Oryctolagus cuniculus: one gene and its partner. The protein of the gene in region 2 interacts with the protein of the main gene of each other region in a pairwise test. Links are inferred from orthologs where the notes say so. Each region holds a gene or a part of one and is shown on either strand. Other genes may lie near its edges.

Region 1 (3,150 bases), on a different chromosome or scaffold from region 2:
AGTCCCTCAGACGTCCCCTGCATCTGGGCTGCTGCGAGCTGGGCTCTTTGTTCTCTAACCCCAGCGAGAGGAGAAGCAGTCCCAGGCGAAGTCAGCGACCGGGCGGGATCCGCGCTGCATGCACAATCCAGAGCTTGCGCTATTCCCGTGTCTTCATGCACATTCGCAGCCAGCGCCTCCCCGCCCGCCCCGGGAACCCCATTCACCCGGGTCCTGGGCTCCCTTTACCAACGGCAGCGCAGACTTGCGGCGGGGTGGGGGCGGCGGTTTCTGCGGAGCACCGAGTGTCTTGGACTCAACAGAGGGGCAGAAGAGAATCCCCCCCACCCCCGATTCCTTAATTTCTAGGCAAATCGTTTGAGATTGTTTGCCACCGTCCTAGAGAAGTCCTTGTCGTGAATAGAAAAGGCAGGGTGCTATTTACACAGGCCAGCGGTCCGCTCGCCACCTGGGGAGGGACGGGCAGGGCAGGGGCCGGCGCGTCCTCTCCCGCAAGCTCACCTTTGCGCAGCCCGCAAGGGCTCCGCGGCCGGCGGCGGGAGCGGCCCCAGCTCCCACGGGCCTGCGCCCAACAGACCCCGCCTCGAGGGCGCCCCTCGGCCAGGACCGCGAGCAGCCGTCGGAGGGCGGCGTCCGACCCGCAGCGGCCGGGGGGCGCCCGCGGGGCCTCACAGCGCGGCCTCGCCCCTCAGCCGCAGCAGGGCGGCGTCGGGCGGGTCTCGGGGCTCCAGCGGCGGCGCGGCCGTGCTGCCTGCGCGGGGGCTTTCGGGGCGCTCGCGGCGGCCGGCGGGAGCGGCGGGGCACGGCCGCTCCTTCTCCTCCTCGGCGTTCCCGTCCTCCGGGTCCTCGCTGGCGACCGCCCCCGGCGCAGGGCACTCGGGCTCCCGGGGGGTGCCCGCGCAGCGCCCCTGGCCGCCCTGGCGGGGCGCCGTGGTCATGATCCGGCACATGGACACGATGGCCCGCTGGTTGGCGCACACGTCGTCCGACAGCACCTGGATGTGCGAGGCCTGCTCGTCCAGGGCGCCCCGCATGGCCCGCACGTCCTCGAACAGGGCCTGCAGCTGCGCCTTCAGGTGCTCCATCAGCTCCTTCATGCCGCCGTTGTACTCGCCCGAGAGCACGTCGCCCACGGCCGGCACGCTGGACACCTCCAGGGGCGCCGGCACGTCGCCGCCGTCCTTGGTCATGAGCTCCAGCGGGCCGTCCTCCATGGGGTCGGGGGCGCGTCCAGCTCGGACTCGCCGGGCGGCGGCTACGGGGGTACCGGGGCCGGCGCCTCCCGCGCGCGCCCTGCACGCCTCGCCTCCGGACCGCGCCCGAGTCAGCGCGCCCCGCGCAGCGCGCGCCCGCAGGTCCCGTCCAGGCCGAGGCCGCCGCGCGGGGCTCCCGACCCCTTTCCAGGCACGGGCGGCGCCCGCGAGTGCGGCCCGGGCGGCGGGGGCGCGGCTCCGGCCGCGCGCCGAGCTGCCGTTTCCAAGGCGACGCACGGCACGTACGTGACGTGTCTCCGTGGCAACCAGGACGTGCGGCGGCCGGGGAGAGGGGCGGGGCGCCGCAGTGGGCGAGGCGGGGCCGCCGGGTGTGCGGGAGCGGGTGCCGCGCGGCGGGCCTCGCGAGGGCGGCGTGTTGCGTGTCGCCCGCTCTCGTGTGGCGCTCGGCACGGCCGTGAGCGGGCGCGGAGTGCGGCCGGCGACTGCGGCGTTCCCGGGGAGCCCGTTTCAAGAGGCCTCTACTCGGTCTTTTTTCACGCCGCGTGTGCCGAGGCCCGCGCCGCTCGTGTTCTGCGGCGGCCGCTCCGGAACCTTGCCTGGCTGAGGGCGAGGGCGGGGAGGAGGCCGCGAGGGGTCCGCAGCCAGCACTGGAGTTCGGGCGAGCGGCCGAATTCCTGGACGGGAGCCGGGCGCGGAGTCCTGCTGCTCCAGCCGCGCAGCCCGAGGCCGCCCAGGCCGGTGCTCCAGCGATTGGTGCCCGAGCGGTTGGGAATATCGCAGATGTCCATCAGTCGAAGGCGTCGCTCATAGTCTTGTGCAGCCATTCGAATACACTGAACGTGAAAAACCTCCTACCAGCGCGTCTTCCCGGACTGCCCGTTCAGTCCTATCCGCTGTCCATTCCTTCCTTACTGCTTGCAGTTCTCACCTCCTGTGCCCTCCGCGTGGGTAAGAACTTTGTAAGTGATTCCTAAAGCGTCGGACAGCGCAGAAACGCTGCGCTAAGCAGAGCCGAGTCTGCCTGGTGTGCACAGAACGGCTTTCTGATAGCCAGGAGCGGGCAGGACCCATTAAAAACAGCTGCGCTGGCGCTGCACCAGTCGCTTATCATGTTCTCAGAGGCTGTGGGTTCACCTCGCACTCATCCTCCCCAGGAGAGTGCTGAGTAGCCGGAAGGGACCCTGAAGCTCGCGGGGCTGAGCCCCTGCCTTCTCAGCTCTCGGCCAGCGCGTCGCACGGTTTCATCTCGCTGGTTCGCTCGCCCTGCCTTGCTCCCATCTTGACAATCCCTCACGTTACCCCGTGGGTGGCAGCTGGGTTATGCCAGCCCTCTGCTGCTGTTAGTGAGCACACCAAGTTTGTAAAGGCTTTGGATCAGATTACACCACGCTGCCCGAGGCAGTGACCGTGAGGTCCCAGAGGCGAAATTATTGGGGATGCACAAAAGCCCCCTGGGAACAGGTGCGCAGGTCAAGGCGGGGTGGCTGACCTCAGCAAGCTCCAGGTCAGCCGCTTGTGAGCTAAGGGTAGGTGGGAGCGCAGGGAGTGGGCCAGCTGGTGCATTGGATTCAGAACCAGATCTTTTCAGGAATTCTGTGTGAAACTGAGACAAGGAGAAAATGGGAGAAGGAGCTGGACTCCGGAGATCCACGGGTAGCCTCTGAGCTGCCTGGGTTCCCCAGCTGGGCCCTGTGCACCCCAGTGCCCTGGAGTATAGTGCATGGAACCACCCCCAAGCAGAAGGTGGGGGCTGATGGGTGCCCCAGGCAACTTCCTAGAGTATTCATAGGAACTGCCAGATGGCAGGAGAAAATAACGCCTGCCCTCTGCCTCCTGCCTTTCTCTCATCCTCTGGGAACCACCTTAGCTTTCTGTTCCTTCATTCCAGTCTCATCAGTCCGTGGGCGCAGAGACCCCATGCTGCGCGGATACAAGT
Region 2 (4,459 bases):
TTCCCATATGGGCACCGGTTCGAGTTCCAGATGCTCCATTTCTGATCCAGCTCTCTGCTATGGCCTGGGAAAGCAGTAGAAGACGGCCCAAGTCCTTGGGCCTCTGCACCTTCGTGGGAGACCCAGAAGATGCTCCTGGTTCTTGGCTTTGGATCGGCCTAGCTCCAGCTGCTGCGGCAGCTGGTAGACCTCTCTCTCACTGTGTAACTCTGACTTTCAAATAAATAAATAAATCTTTAAATTAAATATAGGCCGGCGCCGCGGCTCACTAGGCTAATCCTCCGCCTACAGCGCTGGAACCCCAGGTTCTAGTCCCGGTTGGGGCACCAGATTTTGTTCCGGTTGCTCCTCTTCCAGTCCAGCTCTCTGCTGTGGCCCGGGAAGGCAGTGGAGGATGGCCCAAGTGCTTGGGCTCTGCACTCACATGGGAGACCAGGAGGAAGCACCCGGCTCCTGGCTTCGGATTGGTGCAGCACGCCGGCCGTAGCGGCCATTTGGGGGGTGAACCAATGGAAGGAAGACCTTTCTCTCTGTCTCTGTCTCTGTCTCTCTCACTGTCTAACTCTGCCTGTCAAAAAAATAAATAAATAAAATAAAATAAAAATGAAAAAATAAAAGAAATCCAGGAACTCATGCTTATAAGCACTCTACTACACTACCATATCAACCTACATTGGAGGATGCAGAGACCCCTTCAATTCTTTTCTGGGGCCTCTGCTGTGGAGCAGCTAGAAGGGGCAGAGCAAACAGAAAGTGGGTATGGGCCTCTCACCGGTTCTCTGGGCTCCTTGTCTCTCCATGGCTCTCTCTGACCACGCGAGCCACCTCGGAGAAGCCGGCTTCTTCGGCCAGCTGAGCAGCATCCCTGCCACTCAGCTCACAGACGCCCACCCAGGCAGCCCCACGGCCCAGGAGATAGCGCACAGCAGCCTCCTGGCCCGCCCGGGCAGCACACATCAGGGGAGTCCACCAGAAGGCATCCCGGGCGTTGATATTCCCTCCAGCTCCCCCTGCCTCATGGGGTTCCAACAGCTTTCGCAGTTCTGCCAGGTTTCCCTCCTGGGCTGCCCTCAGGATCCGCTGGGTCATCTTGTCCTCGGCCTCAGGGGATCTCCACTGTCCATGTCTTTCCGGTGCTCCTGCAGACCCTGTTTCTGCTGCTGTCTCCCTCATAGTTCTTCTCCTCTTCCTCTTTCTTTCCTGTGCAGGCTCAGGTTGAGGTGCCTTGGGCTCAAGGGCACTGCTGTCATCCCTGACGAGGGCCTCGTAGAAAGCTCTGGCAGTAGCCCCATCCAGGGCGGCCTCTGGCTCTTCAGGCTGTGACTGCTGCTGCTGCTGCCCATCCTTCCAGAGGTCACTGGGGTCAGTAGCTGGGGTGAATGAGATGAGGGAGGGCTTGAACATAGCCTTTCCAAGAACTGAGAGAATGAGGCTGGGCCAGGGGAGGATGAGACAGACAAATCAACTTCCTAGTGGCCCTTGCAGTGGCCACAGCCACCTCCAGGGACCTGTGGGCAACAGGAAAAACAGCCTTAAAATCAAAACCATCTTCGCCCCTCCAAAACTGACCCTACAATCTAGGACGTGACACCCTAAGGGCACTAGGTCTCAGATGAAAACACAGAACACTACGATAACACACTTTGCCTACTGTTAAAGGTTAATAACGAAAACTCCCAGGCAGTCATCCTGAGGTCTTAGTTCCACCTTCCCCCAACAACAAATATTAGCCCCTCTCCAATACCACTTTCCTATCCCGTAAGACACACCATCACGAAAAATCAGCCTGGCCCTTTAAATCTTCCTGGATCCTACTTTGGGGTTTCCTCATCCCAAAGGAAGCCGAGAAGTCATGACGCTTCTCGGGAAGACTTCAAGACTTCGGGACGGTGCAGTCTGGGTTGCTTCCATACTGCAAAATGGCGCTATTCTAATCAAAAGCGTTGGCACAATCAAATAGCCACACAGCACAAGCACGCATGCATAGCAACAACCAAACAGCACCCCGCCTCACCTGGGCGCACAGGCGTGCGCAAAGTGCCGGGTCCGGATTCCCGCCCTGGAACCTTCTCAACAGCTTATGCCCAGGGCCTCACGTGCCCCTTTGGCGCGAGGACCCGGGACGATCCGTCGGTTGGGTGGGGGGGTCCTGCTTTTACATAACGCCCCCACAATGCCCTTCGCCTCCCTCAACGTGGCCCCCACTCCAAGCTCATTTTCTGAACCTGGGAAGCCAGCTTCTGGCTTAAGAAAGTGCCTGAGACGGAGGGAAACCTGTGGAAGGCCGAGAAGTTGTGAAATGAAATAACGCCACACTACCCCCTCACCATTACTCGGAGCAGGTTCGAAGGGCACGCGTAGAGCCCTCAGCTGAAGACCCCATTCAAGCCCTGGGAGGAAATGGAGAAGTGCAAGGGGACGAGCAGCAGGATGGCCGGCGCCGCCTCAGGTTAGCGCACCGGGCCGTCCTGGTTGTCAATAACGCTCAACTCAGGACAGACACACCCGACCCAGGTCCCTCAGCACGGAGCCCGTTCGTACCTCCCACCTCAGAAGGCCCGAGCTCAGGGTAAAACGTGGGGCTCTCCTGTGCAAGGCCGTGCCCGACTTGATAAGAACTAGGAGGGTTGGCCAGGGCTCACTGAGGGTCCCCGAGGGCAACGTCTGCGACCCGACTCGCCTCGCTTCTTCCCCCGCCCCCTCTTGGCCCCTCAGTCCAGTGAGCATACGACTCTATTTCCCAGGCTCCTGGCCCCGAACGCCTTACTTGGCTTCCGCTTCCGGTGGCGCCTCGCTGTGCCCCGCCCCCGAGCCGCGTCCTCGGGGGCCTCGCGACACGAGGGTCGTGAGTGAGCTGTCCTGGGATTCGTAGTTCGCTTTTCCCTCGCTTCGCCGGTCTCTCGCCCTAGCGGACTCCATCTCCCAGCGTCCACCGCGGCTCTCGCCCCTCGGCGCTTGCGCGTTGCCCTCTTCCCCACCCTCCCCGATTTCCACTCCCCCCACCCGACTTCGCCTGCCGCGGTCGGGTCCGCGGCCTTCGCTGTAGCGGTCGCCGTCGTTCTTTGGAAGCAGCTGTTCCCCTCCCCCACCCCGGTCCCGCTCCCCGTCCAGCTGGTGAGTGTGAAGTGGTTGCCCCGCGGAGTTCCCGGTCCCTAGGAGCGGCACATGGGGTCTCCCCGCCTTGAGGTGGGGGCGAGGAAGGAAGTGACCCGGTCCGTAACCGTGGGAGGGAAGGGTGGCCGGAGAGCGGGAGGCAGGCTGTGGGGACTCCGTGAAAGAGTACCTGGCGGTGCCCGCCCCTCGCCCCGGGTCGTGAGAAAAGGAGGTGTCGGTCGTTGCTTGGCAAAGATAAACTTCTAATTCTTGGGGAAGGGTGCCGGAGCCCTGCGGTGGTAGGGAGCCCGAGCCGAGGACTCTGCCAGAGTTGACACAGGCGAGAGGGGTCTGGCCATCGGGGGCGCGGGGGATGTAGGTAGGGACTGCTGGGTCGGTACTTGTGGGCTCCTGCCAAGGAATTTCTAAGTTCATTCAGAGAAAAGGGGCCGAGGTGTAAATAACAAGAGCTAGAGAAGCCTGTCCCAAAGGCTGGGATCCTTTAAAAAAAAAAAAAAAAAAAAGGGTGGCCCCAAATTCTTCCATGGCTGAAAGACAGAGTGTGGGAGGAGGGAAGGTGCCAGAGCCGGGGAGGGAGAGCTTGGACTTGACTCCTGTTTCCAGCTGACGTGAAGATGAGCAGCTCGGAGGAAGTGTCCTGGATTTCCTGGTTTTGTGGGCTCCGTGGCAATGAATTCTTCTGTGAAGTGAGTGCTTTTCGTTCTTCCTACTCGCTGGTTCCATGCGTTCAGGTTGGGTATCTTCAGCTTTTGCACACTTTATCCCGTGGAAACTCCTTCCCGTGAAAGAAGGGGTCCCCTCAGTAACCCCCCACTAATCAGCGGCGATGTGGCAAGACTGGGGCCCAAGTCCCATTTCTGTCACACACCCCACCGCACCCCCAGGAGGATAACATTGAACTAGTCAGACCATCTTTTTTTTTTCTTTTTCTTTTTTAATTTTTTTATTGTACTTAAAGTATCTGAAGGTAGAGCAACAGAGAAAGTGAAGGATCTTCTGTCTACTGGTTTATGTCCCAAATTTCTACAACAGCTACTGCTACCAGCCAGGCTGAAGTAAAGATCCCAAAACTTACCTGGGTTTCCCATGTGGGTGGCAGGGACTCAAGTACTTGTGCCATCACCCTGCTACCTTCCAGGGTGTGTGTTAGCAAGAAGCTGGAATTGGAAGTGGAGTTGGGACTTGAACCTGAGCATTCCAGTTTGGGATGTGGGTTATCTCTAACCATGTAGGAACCACCGTGCCAAGTGTCCTTTCTCCTTTGCTTTTTCATTACTAGAATGCTACTGGTAGTGCTTATCTCTGGGGGCTGTTAGGAGAATTGGAATACTGCACCTTAAAATGT

The links.
Region 1: the proteins of GPANK1 (region 2) and CCDC184 interact in binary tests that used the Homo sapiens proteins (3 or more experiments, as listed by UniProt). The two-hybrid records come from large-scale screens. The link is inferred for Oryctolagus cuniculus from reciprocal best matches to the Homo sapiens genes GPANK1 and CCDC184.

What each region holds. Positions count from the first base shown.
Region 1 is NC_091440.1:137,729,774-137,732,923, reverse strand, and holds CCDC184 (coiled-coil domain-containing protein 184), read right to left. Parts: upstream 1,477-3,150; 5' UTR 1,215-1,476; coding exon 669-1,214; 3' UTR 517-668; downstream 1-516.
Region 2 is NC_091436.1:138,949,143-138,953,601, reverse strand, and holds the start of GPANK1 (G patch domain and ankyrin repeat-containing protein 1), read right to left. Parts: upstream 2,886-4,459; 5' UTR 2,768-2,885; exon of another isoform or gene 2,542-2,767; intron 2,275-2,541; 5' UTR 2,015-2,274; intron 1,887-2,014; exon of another isoform or gene 1,770-1,886; intron 1,509-1,769; 5' UTR 1,405-1,508; coding exon 773-1,404; intron 1-772. Other genes in the region: CSNK2B (casein kinase II subunit beta), read left to right, coding at 3,729-3,800.